Linked DNA regions of Xenopus tropicalis. The protein of the gene in region 2 interacts with the protein of the main gene of each other region in a pairwise test. Links are inferred from orthologs where the notes say so. Each region holds a gene or a part of one and is shown on either strand. Other genes may lie near its edges.

Evidence for each region.
Region 1: the proteins of retinal rod rhodopsin-sensitive cGMP 3',5'-cyclic phosphodiesterase subunit delta (region 2) and arl16 interact in binary tests that used the Homo sapiens proteins (3 or more experiments, as listed by UniProt). The two-hybrid records come from large-scale screens. The link is inferred for Xenopus tropicalis from reciprocal best matches to the Homo sapiens genes PDE6D and ARL16.
Region 3: the proteins of retinal rod rhodopsin-sensitive cGMP 3',5'-cyclic phosphodiesterase subunit delta (region 2) and arl3 interact in binary tests that used the Homo sapiens proteins (3 or more experiments, as listed by UniProt). The link is inferred for Xenopus tropicalis from reciprocal best matches to the Homo sapiens genes PDE6D and ARL3.

What each region holds. Positions count from the first base shown.
Region 1 is NC_030686.2:27,583,082-27,585,284, forward strand, and holds the end of arl16 (ADP-ribosylation factor-like protein 16), read right to left. Parts: intron 1,484-2,203; coding exon 1,368-1,483; intron 1,277-1,367; coding exon 1,111-1,276; 3' UTR 501-1,110; downstream 1-500. UniProt on the Homo sapiens protein: May suppress the RNA sensing activity of RIGI in a GTP-dependent.
Region 2 is NC_030681.2:101,179,589-101,183,644, reverse strand, and holds the start of retinal rod rhodopsin-sensitive cGMP 3',5'-cyclic phosphodiesterase subunit delta, read left to right. Parts: upstream 1-1,256; 5' UTR 1,257-2,282; coding exon 2,283-2,329; intron 2,330-4,056. UniProt on the Homo sapiens protein: Promotes the release of prenylated target proteins from cellular membranes. Modulates the activity of prenylated or palmitoylated Ras family members by regulating their subcellular location.
Region 3 is NC_030683.2:29,027,599-29,031,098, forward strand, and holds part of arl3 (ADP-ribosylation factor-like protein 3), read left to right. Parts: intron 1-973; coding exon 974-1,117; intron 1,118-3,500. UniProt on the Homo sapiens protein: Small GTP-binding protein which cycles between an inactive GDP-bound and an active GTP-bound form, and the rate of cycling is regulated by guanine nucleotide exchange factors (GEF) and GTPase-activating proteins (GAP).

The sequences.
Region 1 (2,203 bases), on a different chromosome or scaffold from region 2:
ACCACACAAACAATCAGGTAGTAGGTAGGAAGGTTTTGCTACAACAAAAGGTTAAACTTATGTATGTATGTGGATTTTTTTTTACCCACAGCTATAATACAAACTCACTAATCATGTTACTAAATCATGTAGAGGAAACAACCCTGCAACTGCTGGCAGGGCAGTGCCATGTCAGGACTCCTTGCTACCATCAGGCAGCCAAGTCAGTGCTGCCCTCCAACCTTGCAGTCAGCACCTAAGGTTGGAGATCTTCTATGACTTCTAGCATAATACAAAAGCAGCCACCTGGGTTCAATAGCTTCCCCATAAAACCCTTTTTGGGAACCTGAAAATCATGTTATAAAGGTTGTGTTGAACTGATGCTGAACTATTTTTGAAATAACATCATCCAAGTGCATCTAATTAATGCAACTACTGTCCTACTACTGTGTGCATGTGTAGGTTACTGCTCACTAGCAGCACATCAAAAAGCTTAATGATCCTGCATCATTTTTACAATTAAAGGTTTACACTTTTATTACAATTTTGTATTAAAAAAACCACATAAAACATATTCAACTTTAATCATTTGTATTAATGTTCATAATTGTAATCATAGCTTATCAAATAAGACTCTTAATTCCAGCTGAAAGAGGCTTTGACCTTCAATGGACCCATTCTTAATATGTGGTAACTGTAAATGAGTGACAGTGGAAAGTGGATGGAGAAAGTGATGCCAAAACTTGCAGCATCTCTTCTTATGTTTCTGTTAATCCCGTACCAATGTTTGTAAGACCCTGGCATGGATAAAGACATGGAAATGGTCCCCAATTCATGCAGGAAGTACTGCTTCAGTAAGTATCAAAGATATCCTTGGTTGTATTTTATCTGGACACATCAGGCTGAATGTGGTTGATACCTAAATGTGTGCAATGGATGCAAACTCCTTCTGCAGAAAATGCTACTGTAAACACATAGACACACTTCTTCCCATTGTTTCTCTGCTCCAAAGAAAGGGAAAATGGCTTCACTGGGACAGTGCTAAGAATGTTTTGCCCAGGAAACACTGCTGTACATCCAACATTTAAGTGGTGCATTCTGCATACTGTTTCATTGCCAGTGAAGGGAATGTTATTGAGCACAATTGGAATGCAACCAGTGCATAACATCTTGTAAACCAGTGCCATCTAGTGAGCTTGTTTGCAGGACTGAAATTTGTTGCTTAGCACAAGAAATGATGTCATCCATTCTAAACAGTGACTTTATTTCCACCAATGACATATAGCATGGCAGGTCTCTACAGGGAACAAAAATGGAACTTATTAACTACATGCTTAGTCATAGTCTAAGAATAATAAGTCAATAAGAAAGAAGGCATAAAAACTTACATCTTATTAAAAAGAATCAGCACTGAAGCAGACACCAAAGGCTCCGCAGACAGCACGGCCAGAAGCTGGATACATGATGCAGACACTTGGTTTGGGTTAGCAGCATCAACCATAAACTAAAATAACATGAAAATCACAATATATGAATAAAACAGAATACATTAATTCAGTGGTATTCAGATGAAGCCCTTCAAAAATTAGTGGCACCTAAAGGATACTGAAATTCAGACCAGGCCAGAGGCCCCCCCTTTAGATTAGAGGAATGGAGCTTCCATTTGAAGCAGCATAGGTGGTTTTTCACGGTGAAAGTAGTGAGGTTGGGGAATGCCCTTCCTAGTGATGTTGTAATGGCAGATTATGTTAATGCCTTTAAGAGGGGCCTGGATGAGTTCTTGAACAAGCATAGTATCCAAGGCTATTGTGATACTAATATCTACAGTTAGTATTGATGTTGGTATATATGGTGTATGTATGTGAGTGGATAGATAGGTCAGTATGGGTCTGTATGTGAGTGGATAGATAGGTCAGTATGGGTCTGTATGTGAGTGGATAGATAGGTCAGTATGGGTCTGTATGTGAGTGGATAGATAGGTCAGTATGGGTCTGTATGTGAGTGGATAGATAGGTCAGTGTGGGTCTGTATGTGAGTGGATAGATAGGTCAGTGTGGGTCTGTATGTGAGTGTATAGATAGGTCAGTATGGGTCTGTATGTGAGTGGATAGATAGGTCAGTATGGGTCTGTATGTGAGTGGATAGATAGGTCAGTGTGGGTCTGTATGTGAGTGGATAGATAGGTCAGTATGGGTCTGTATGTGAGTGGATAGATAGGTCAGTG
Region 2 (4,056 bases):
AGATGTGCAAAGCTGGTAGAGACATACCCTAAAAGCCTGGCAGCTGTAATTGCAGCAAAAGGTGGTTCTACAAAGTATTGACTCAGGGGGCTGAATAATTACGCACACCCCACTTTGCAGTTATTTATTTGTAAAAAATGTTTGGAATCATGTATGATTTTCGTTCCACTTCTCACGTGTACACCACTTTGTATTGGTCTTTCACGTGGAATTCCAATAAAATCGATTCATGTTTGTGGCTGTAATGTGACAAAATGTGGAAAAGTTCAAGGGGGCCGAATACTTTTGCAAGCCACTGTAGGTATCCAGTTTTTGTGCAGTTAAGAGAATTTTTGTGTCGCCTCTCCCTACTAGCTCTCCTGGCAGTGTTTCAATGCCCACTTCCTCTCAGTTTATATTTGGTTTTTCAGTACGTAGTTCCTCCCATTATATAAAATGTATTTTGTGAGTCAGTACCCACTGCCTCTCATTATATAATATAATTTCGGTGCCCCTCAGGCCTGGACTGGTAATCTGTGTATTCTGGTAAATGCCTGATGTGCACTATAAATTATTACATTAACATTTATTTATAAAGCGCCAACATATTCCGCAGCGCTGTACAATATGTGGGTTACATACATTGGACATACAGAGTAACATATAAAGCAATCAGTAACCGATACAAGAGGTGAAGAGGGCCCTGCCCAAAAGAGCTTACAATCTACAAGTCACTATTTATTGGGGAGGGGGGGGGGGGCTATTTGGGCCTCTGTATAATAGAAATGCCATGTCCTATTTTGAATCACAGTCCGGGTCTGTAAACTATGGTTGAATAAGAGGGGGAGAAAATTTGCGCCAGTAAATTTAACCTAAAATAAAAAAAAATAGAATCCAGTATCTTCCCAACTATGTAGTTACTAACAGTCATCATGTAATGCATTAAGTTACCTACACGAGTTGTGAACATGTGAACTTGTGCTCTAAATTGCTTTGCTTCAGTAAGTAAACTTTGCAAGATCACCCAAACTCAATTATTCTCTATTACCACCTGGAACAAGTAGCCAGTGAATGTATTTTGACCCTTTTCGTGTCCCGTACAACTTTCCTCCGTTTCTATGCAACATGAGGTTCCTCAAATTAGTGACGCGCGAGCACTCAACCAGACTTGAAATCGATTTGTCCCGCCCTGCGTGCGACGTTCTCTCTCTCCTAATTGGTGCGTGGCGATATCACTCAGCAGGGATTCCGACTGTGATTGGCCGGTGCTAGCATTTTTTGTTGAACTGTACTAAACGTCATAGGGCAAATAGGAGGAACTGATGTAGCTTAGTAAATCTTCTTAGCCAGATCCTGTAGACGAGGAGCTAGTTGTTAAATCCATGCTGACATAACGAGTAGTTACTATACGATTCCGGAAAGCAGTGCAACATTGTAGAGTTCTTCCCAGTGCCGTGGCCCTGGGACCTCTGTGTTACGGAAAGCTGATCAGGGCGTCTGTCAGAGGCAGAATCCACGCTGCTCGCCTCCAGGTGCAAGTAAAACTGCAAATTCTGTTCAGGATTATTACTCTATGTGGTGGGTGTGATATAGGTGTGGAACTACTACTTAATGCATAGAAGCTGTTTATGCTGCTAGATTACCCCAGCACCGACCTACCTGCACTATGTCTGGCCTGTACAGCCTACCTGTGGTCTGACTGGCTGATATCGCTTGCCTGTACCCTTTCTGGCTCAAACCATCTACCATTGCAGTTATATTTTGTGTATTGTCCATATCATCAATTGCTGCAAGGGCCCCAACTCACCTGCCAGAATTGGCACTTGGACACATCTCAAGATATTGCATATTAAAACGTGTATGTACTGAGAGAGTGAAGCTACTGTTGGATCACCTATGATTGCTTGTGCTGGTTGCTGTTGCTAGCACTGGCTGAAATGGAATTACTCTGACAGTCCAAGTTAGGGTTAGGCCACACCTATTTTATTGTCATTCTACTGGCCAGCGAGAGACCGTCATGCATGTACTTTCTGAAATTTAAATTAAACAAGACTTATACCAGTACTGTTCCAAGACCATCGTATTTAATTTTAAACCAAACTAAACTTTTGTTGTGTCAGTATGAATCTTATGCAGGCTTAACAAACCTGGATCATCTACAGAGGCCAGAAGTCTATTGTAATCACTGTAAAACTCAACACTGGCTTTTATAGCTTTTGCATAACTAGGACCGGAAAACTTGAACTGTATATCTCAAGGGATAATCCTTCAACTGATAAAGGAAATCAAGGACAGCATTCAACATGTCTCAGGATGAGAGAGCCAAGCAAATCCTAAAGGGATTCAAACTGTATCCAACAATAAGGGTGTAAGTGGAAAAGAGCATGTTATGAGAAAGTGATATCACAATTATGGGTCCCTTGGTGTAGGTCAGGTGTTGTAAGTATAAGATATAAATTTAAGTCAAAAAAATGAGTGGCGTCTGGTGATTCAGGCTTTATTTTTTTTTATCTCAGTGTTGCATTGATGACCAGCCTCTGGCCCTCCAGCTGTTGAGCTTTCAGCATCTCTTGGAAGATTAAAAGTGATTAGTGATTAGCGCTTAGGGAGATCTAGTCCAGATGGCAGGCCACAGGTAGGACTTCCCTGCAATACGGCATTAATGCAAACTATCAGCATGGTGTGACCATATGTGATATACTTATCTATAGGTTTATATTTGGTGCTAGAACATTAAATGCATCAAATACACACACTATTGGGATTCAGAGACGCAATAAACACCTCAAAATTTGTATAATAAAATACTACAAAAAAGTGCAAGTCTGCATCAGACCTGCTTGTTTAACAGACAAACAACAACTGCTGGCATTATGAAATAAGCACTAGATCGGTTACATTGCAGCCATTTTGTATGGGTTAACTCTCTGTATGGATGATTTACTAAGATAACAACTACTACATATCACCAATTCAGTTGCTCATGACAACCTATCAGATATTTGATTTCATTTTCTCAATGAGTGGTTTTTTTTTTGTTTGAATTCATGCCATAGGCAGAGGTATATGATAAGTGGCTTCTATAAGGTTTTTTTGATCTGAAGGGGTGGTCATTATTACAGATTGCTAGGTCTATTTCTATAGAAGTAGACTTATTTTTGATGATGTGGTTAAGGTCTTGTATGTGTTGTGTCTTTAATGGGAAAGAAACCTTGTCATTGGGGTAGGGGAAGTGTTGATATGTAAATTCCCCTCTAAGTGAATTTAATCACTGGAGTCTTTTTTTATTTAATAGACATGAAGCTGCGGGCCAGTTTGGGTGCAGATGGAGAGGGGGGGGGGGTGCAGGTCGACAAGAAGTCGACCCCGACATCACTACTGGCTTGGGAAACTTTCTAAAAGTGGTTCAGCTGTGCCTTTCATAAACTTAGATTTGAGCATGTGTAATAGACTAAAATCTGAAAAAATAAGGACACAAAGGAGCATCGGTCTGAGGAGATAGTATAGTAATGTAATGCACTGGGTAGTGCTTTACATTTTGGCAGCCCCTAGTATATATAGGATTCTTAGTCTTTCCATGTGTCTATACACAGACCGATATAGGCAGCCCACTGGGCCCTGTATGGAAGCTAAACTTTTTAATTTGTCTGGTGCTGCCTTAAGCACTGGACCTTAGCTCCAGGGTCAAACTGGACTACCAGGATATCAGGAAAAATCTCAGTGGGCCCAGACCCTGCCACCCAAGCCCTGGCTGGCAAATGCCAGAGAGGCTGCTGTAAGATGCCATAGACAGTCACTAGTGGGTTGATGGGGGGCTGTTTGGTTTGGGCATCTCTGCCTGAAATGCCATGGCCTGTTTTGAATGCCAGTCTGCCCGCAAGCCCCAGCCATCACCTCTCCCTGCTTAGCTGTGCTACTTATTTTGCTGTTTAAGGAACAGTTTAGTAAAAAATGAAACTGTGTAAAATAGACTGTGCAAAATGTTATGTCCACTCAAGTCACTGATTGGTAACTGACTGTTAACAACTTAGGAGGAGGAAGTAGTGTTCTGGCTACTATGTTAGACATCTGCCTACA
Region 3 (3,500 bases), on a different chromosome or scaffold from region 2:
CTTTAGTCTCTGTGATCATCACAATTGTGCAGCCCTTATTTCTAGTGACTTCAGGTAAAAGTGCGCATATTAGCTCTGGGCAACTTTTAACCTGTAGTTGTGAATTTGCCCTCGCTCTTTTTATGGGGGGTTTGGGGTCACCCAGCGCTCAAGAAAGGTTTAAAAGTGAACTGAGAACTTGATTGCTTCTAATACTTGGAATGTTGGCCTTTTCATTGGTTTGATGAGTCACAGTATATATGATGATATATTAGTGTTATGGTGAATGTTCTGTAGAATCAGCTTGGGAAATCGAATTTAAACACAACAGAGCTTTTTATGGTAGCACTTTTTGTGTGAAGTTCATACAGTTTGTCTCAGCTTTATTTATTAGCAACCAGCTGAACAAGAATCTATGCGTACGACTTATCACTATGTTTGCGCAAGCCATACTGATGACTTGTTGAATGGATGGGTGTTACTACTCAGTGCAGCCCAACAGCAGCGTTGAGCACTAAAAACCTTTTAAAATTAAATATGTTTAACCGCTCAAAGCAGTTTAGTTTCATAATAGTCCTAGCTGATTTCAAAAGATGCAGACTTTAGATATAAGATGTGGTTGTGCCAGCTGGGCTTTTATCTCACCAAATTACAGCCTAGGGTTAACTAAATATGCATGCAGCACATATTCAGTTAAGTTTGCTGGTAATCTGACTTGGATATTGGGAGTCTAAAACTGCTAATAAGCAAGTAACTGCAAAAATCTAATTTTTTTTTGTATTGTGCTTAGAGGACATTTTATATAATTTTTAAATTTTGGTTTGCATCCCCTTTAATACAGAACTATTTCGAAGAAACACTGCTTCTTTGGTTCTAGCTCGTGGCCCTAAAAATATAAAATGTTTTAATATAAGGCACCGTTTCTCTTTCTACTCTAAATAAATGTATTAACTGATATCTGCATACTGATGTTGTGCCTCATTTGTCGTTTCAGGGTTTGCTGTCTATTTTGCGTAAACTGAAAAGTGCCCCAGACCAGGAGGTAAGAATTCTGCTCCTGGGACTGGACAATGCCGGCAAAACCACACTGCTCAAACAGCTTGCGTCCGAGGATATCAGCCACATCACACCTACACAGGTGAGCAGTATCCTGCTGTTCCACATAACAGCCCCTTCTTTATAAACACAAACAAGAAACAATGCGCATACTTTGCTAGAATATTCCATTCCCTGTTTTCTTATATTAACACCTACCTGGTGAGTTAATAGCTGTTCTACTTGTATGTTCAGCAGATTAATTATGCATTCAATTTTTGGGCAAGATAATTACAATGAACACAAGTAGACTAAAAGTTTACCAGAGCATTGATTCCATAATAGAACCCAAGCAGAAAGAATTACTACTCTATTTTCATAAGGAATCCAAGTGCCTTGCTGAACCGAATCCAAACCCTTAAAATCACTTGACTTTTGGTCACATGATTGCAAATTAGGTTTTAGATTTGGCTAAATCCTTCATGAAAGATTCAGGATTTGGCCAAATCTTTTAGAAAACTGAAATATTTTCCACATGCTCAGCTCCCCTCCATTTCCTTCCCCTAATGTCATATGAAAATTAGGCTTTACATTTAGTTGAATCCTTCTTAAAGGAGAAGGAAAGTAATTTTGGCATTTTACTGCCAATAGATTTGCCACATTGGTGCCACCTACAACAATATTTATTTATTCTGCAGAAACCATTACCAAACAGCTTTAGAAGCGCAGATCACACATTCCTAAGAGGGGGGGGGTGGTGGTTCTTAGCATTCTTGTGGGAGGGGGTGCAAGAGAGGGGAGGGGGAGCAGGAGAAGAGAGAGAGAGGAGAGAACTGTGCAGACTCTGGCCCAGGGAATTAAGGATGTTTCTGAGAGAGCAAGTCAGACACTGGAACATCATGTTTACAAAAAAAGAGACAAGAAATCCTGTATTTCCTTTGATAGAGGACAGCATTACTGTAAGTGCTTATGGCTGTATTTACATAGACCTTTCTGATAAAGCTTACTTAGTTTTTACCTTTCCTTCTCCTTTAAAAGATTCACCAGAATCCCCAAATAGTGGATTCAGTGCATTCCTACTTCTTGGGCCACTGTGCAAACTTGTTGAAAGGGCAACATAAGGCAACAACTTTCATTCAAATTTTAATTTTTTTGCTGGTGTATATGTATAGTTATTATTAGTTATTAATTATAAAAAAAAGCTATGTTGTTCTGTGTACAAATTCTTTCTTGCTGTTTACATGCATTCTGTTACCTAGCAACCAGGGAAACCCCACGACATCCTGAGGTTGCCTTCTCCAGGGATACCTGCATTGCAGTTATAGAGTTATTTGTGCTCCTTGTGCATATATAACATTTCCATTGCTCTGGAAAACCCTCCCAGGTTGCTCTTGTGCTTTGGAATAATTCTTAGGTCTGTACACTAAAGCAAGCTAAGATGAAACTGCAGATTGGATCACAGCAAACACAGGTTATAGAGTTTAAGAAAAAATGGATAATCTGAACAACTTTTCCATTAAACTGTACAAACTGTTCTTAGGTAATGGAAAACAAACCCCATGCAGGTCAGCCACACCTGCGAGACACTGATTGAGATAAGTCTCAGGATCATATACTGTAGATATTATTCTAGGTATAAATGCTAACTACAGTATACAGTATATGTGCGTGTAACTATTTATGTGTATCATATACAGCAATTCTGTTTCTGTGTCACTGTCACAGTCTAAAAATTGCAGAAACTGTTTCAATAGAATTAATGTAAGACCACTGTTTGTTATTAATTAATGTAAAGCACCACATAATATGTTGCCACAATATAAATATCCAGTGATACAACATTTGCTCCAAGTGCAAAGTCAGAAGTTGATTAGCTGTTTTATATGATTTGAAAAAAGCTCTGCACCATATCCTGCATTTTCACCCCAAACAATGGCAGTGTTTAATGGTACCCCAAGCAGAGATATGCTTAGAGGTAGTGGACACTGGCACTCCAAGCACACCATAGGTACTGACAGCACAACTACAATATATAGAGAACAGTGGATACTGACACCACAAACGCATGAAATGTTTACTGACACACTAAGCTCATTATATACAGCAAAGGGCAGTGGAAAGTTCTGATATTGTTCTGCTCTTAACTTTTTTTTTTATAACCCTTTTCCTGGCAGTCAGTTTGTGGATTCTGGTACTTATATTGCCAGACAGTGTTTGAACAAAAACTGTATATCATTTTTTTTTTTTTTTTTTTGTAGAACAACCTAAGATTTCAAAATATTCTATAATTTTTATGTAGCTCTACTTCTGTAACAAGATATAGGTTTCTAAAGGTCTAAAAAATATAAAATCATATTTTCCTTAATATAAAGACATATATCTGAAACATAATCTATTTTTTGTTCATGAAAATACAACTGAATTGAAAAGTCCCATGTCTCCTGAATGTGCCAGTACCAAATATGGATAGGTTTTTTGAGATTTCT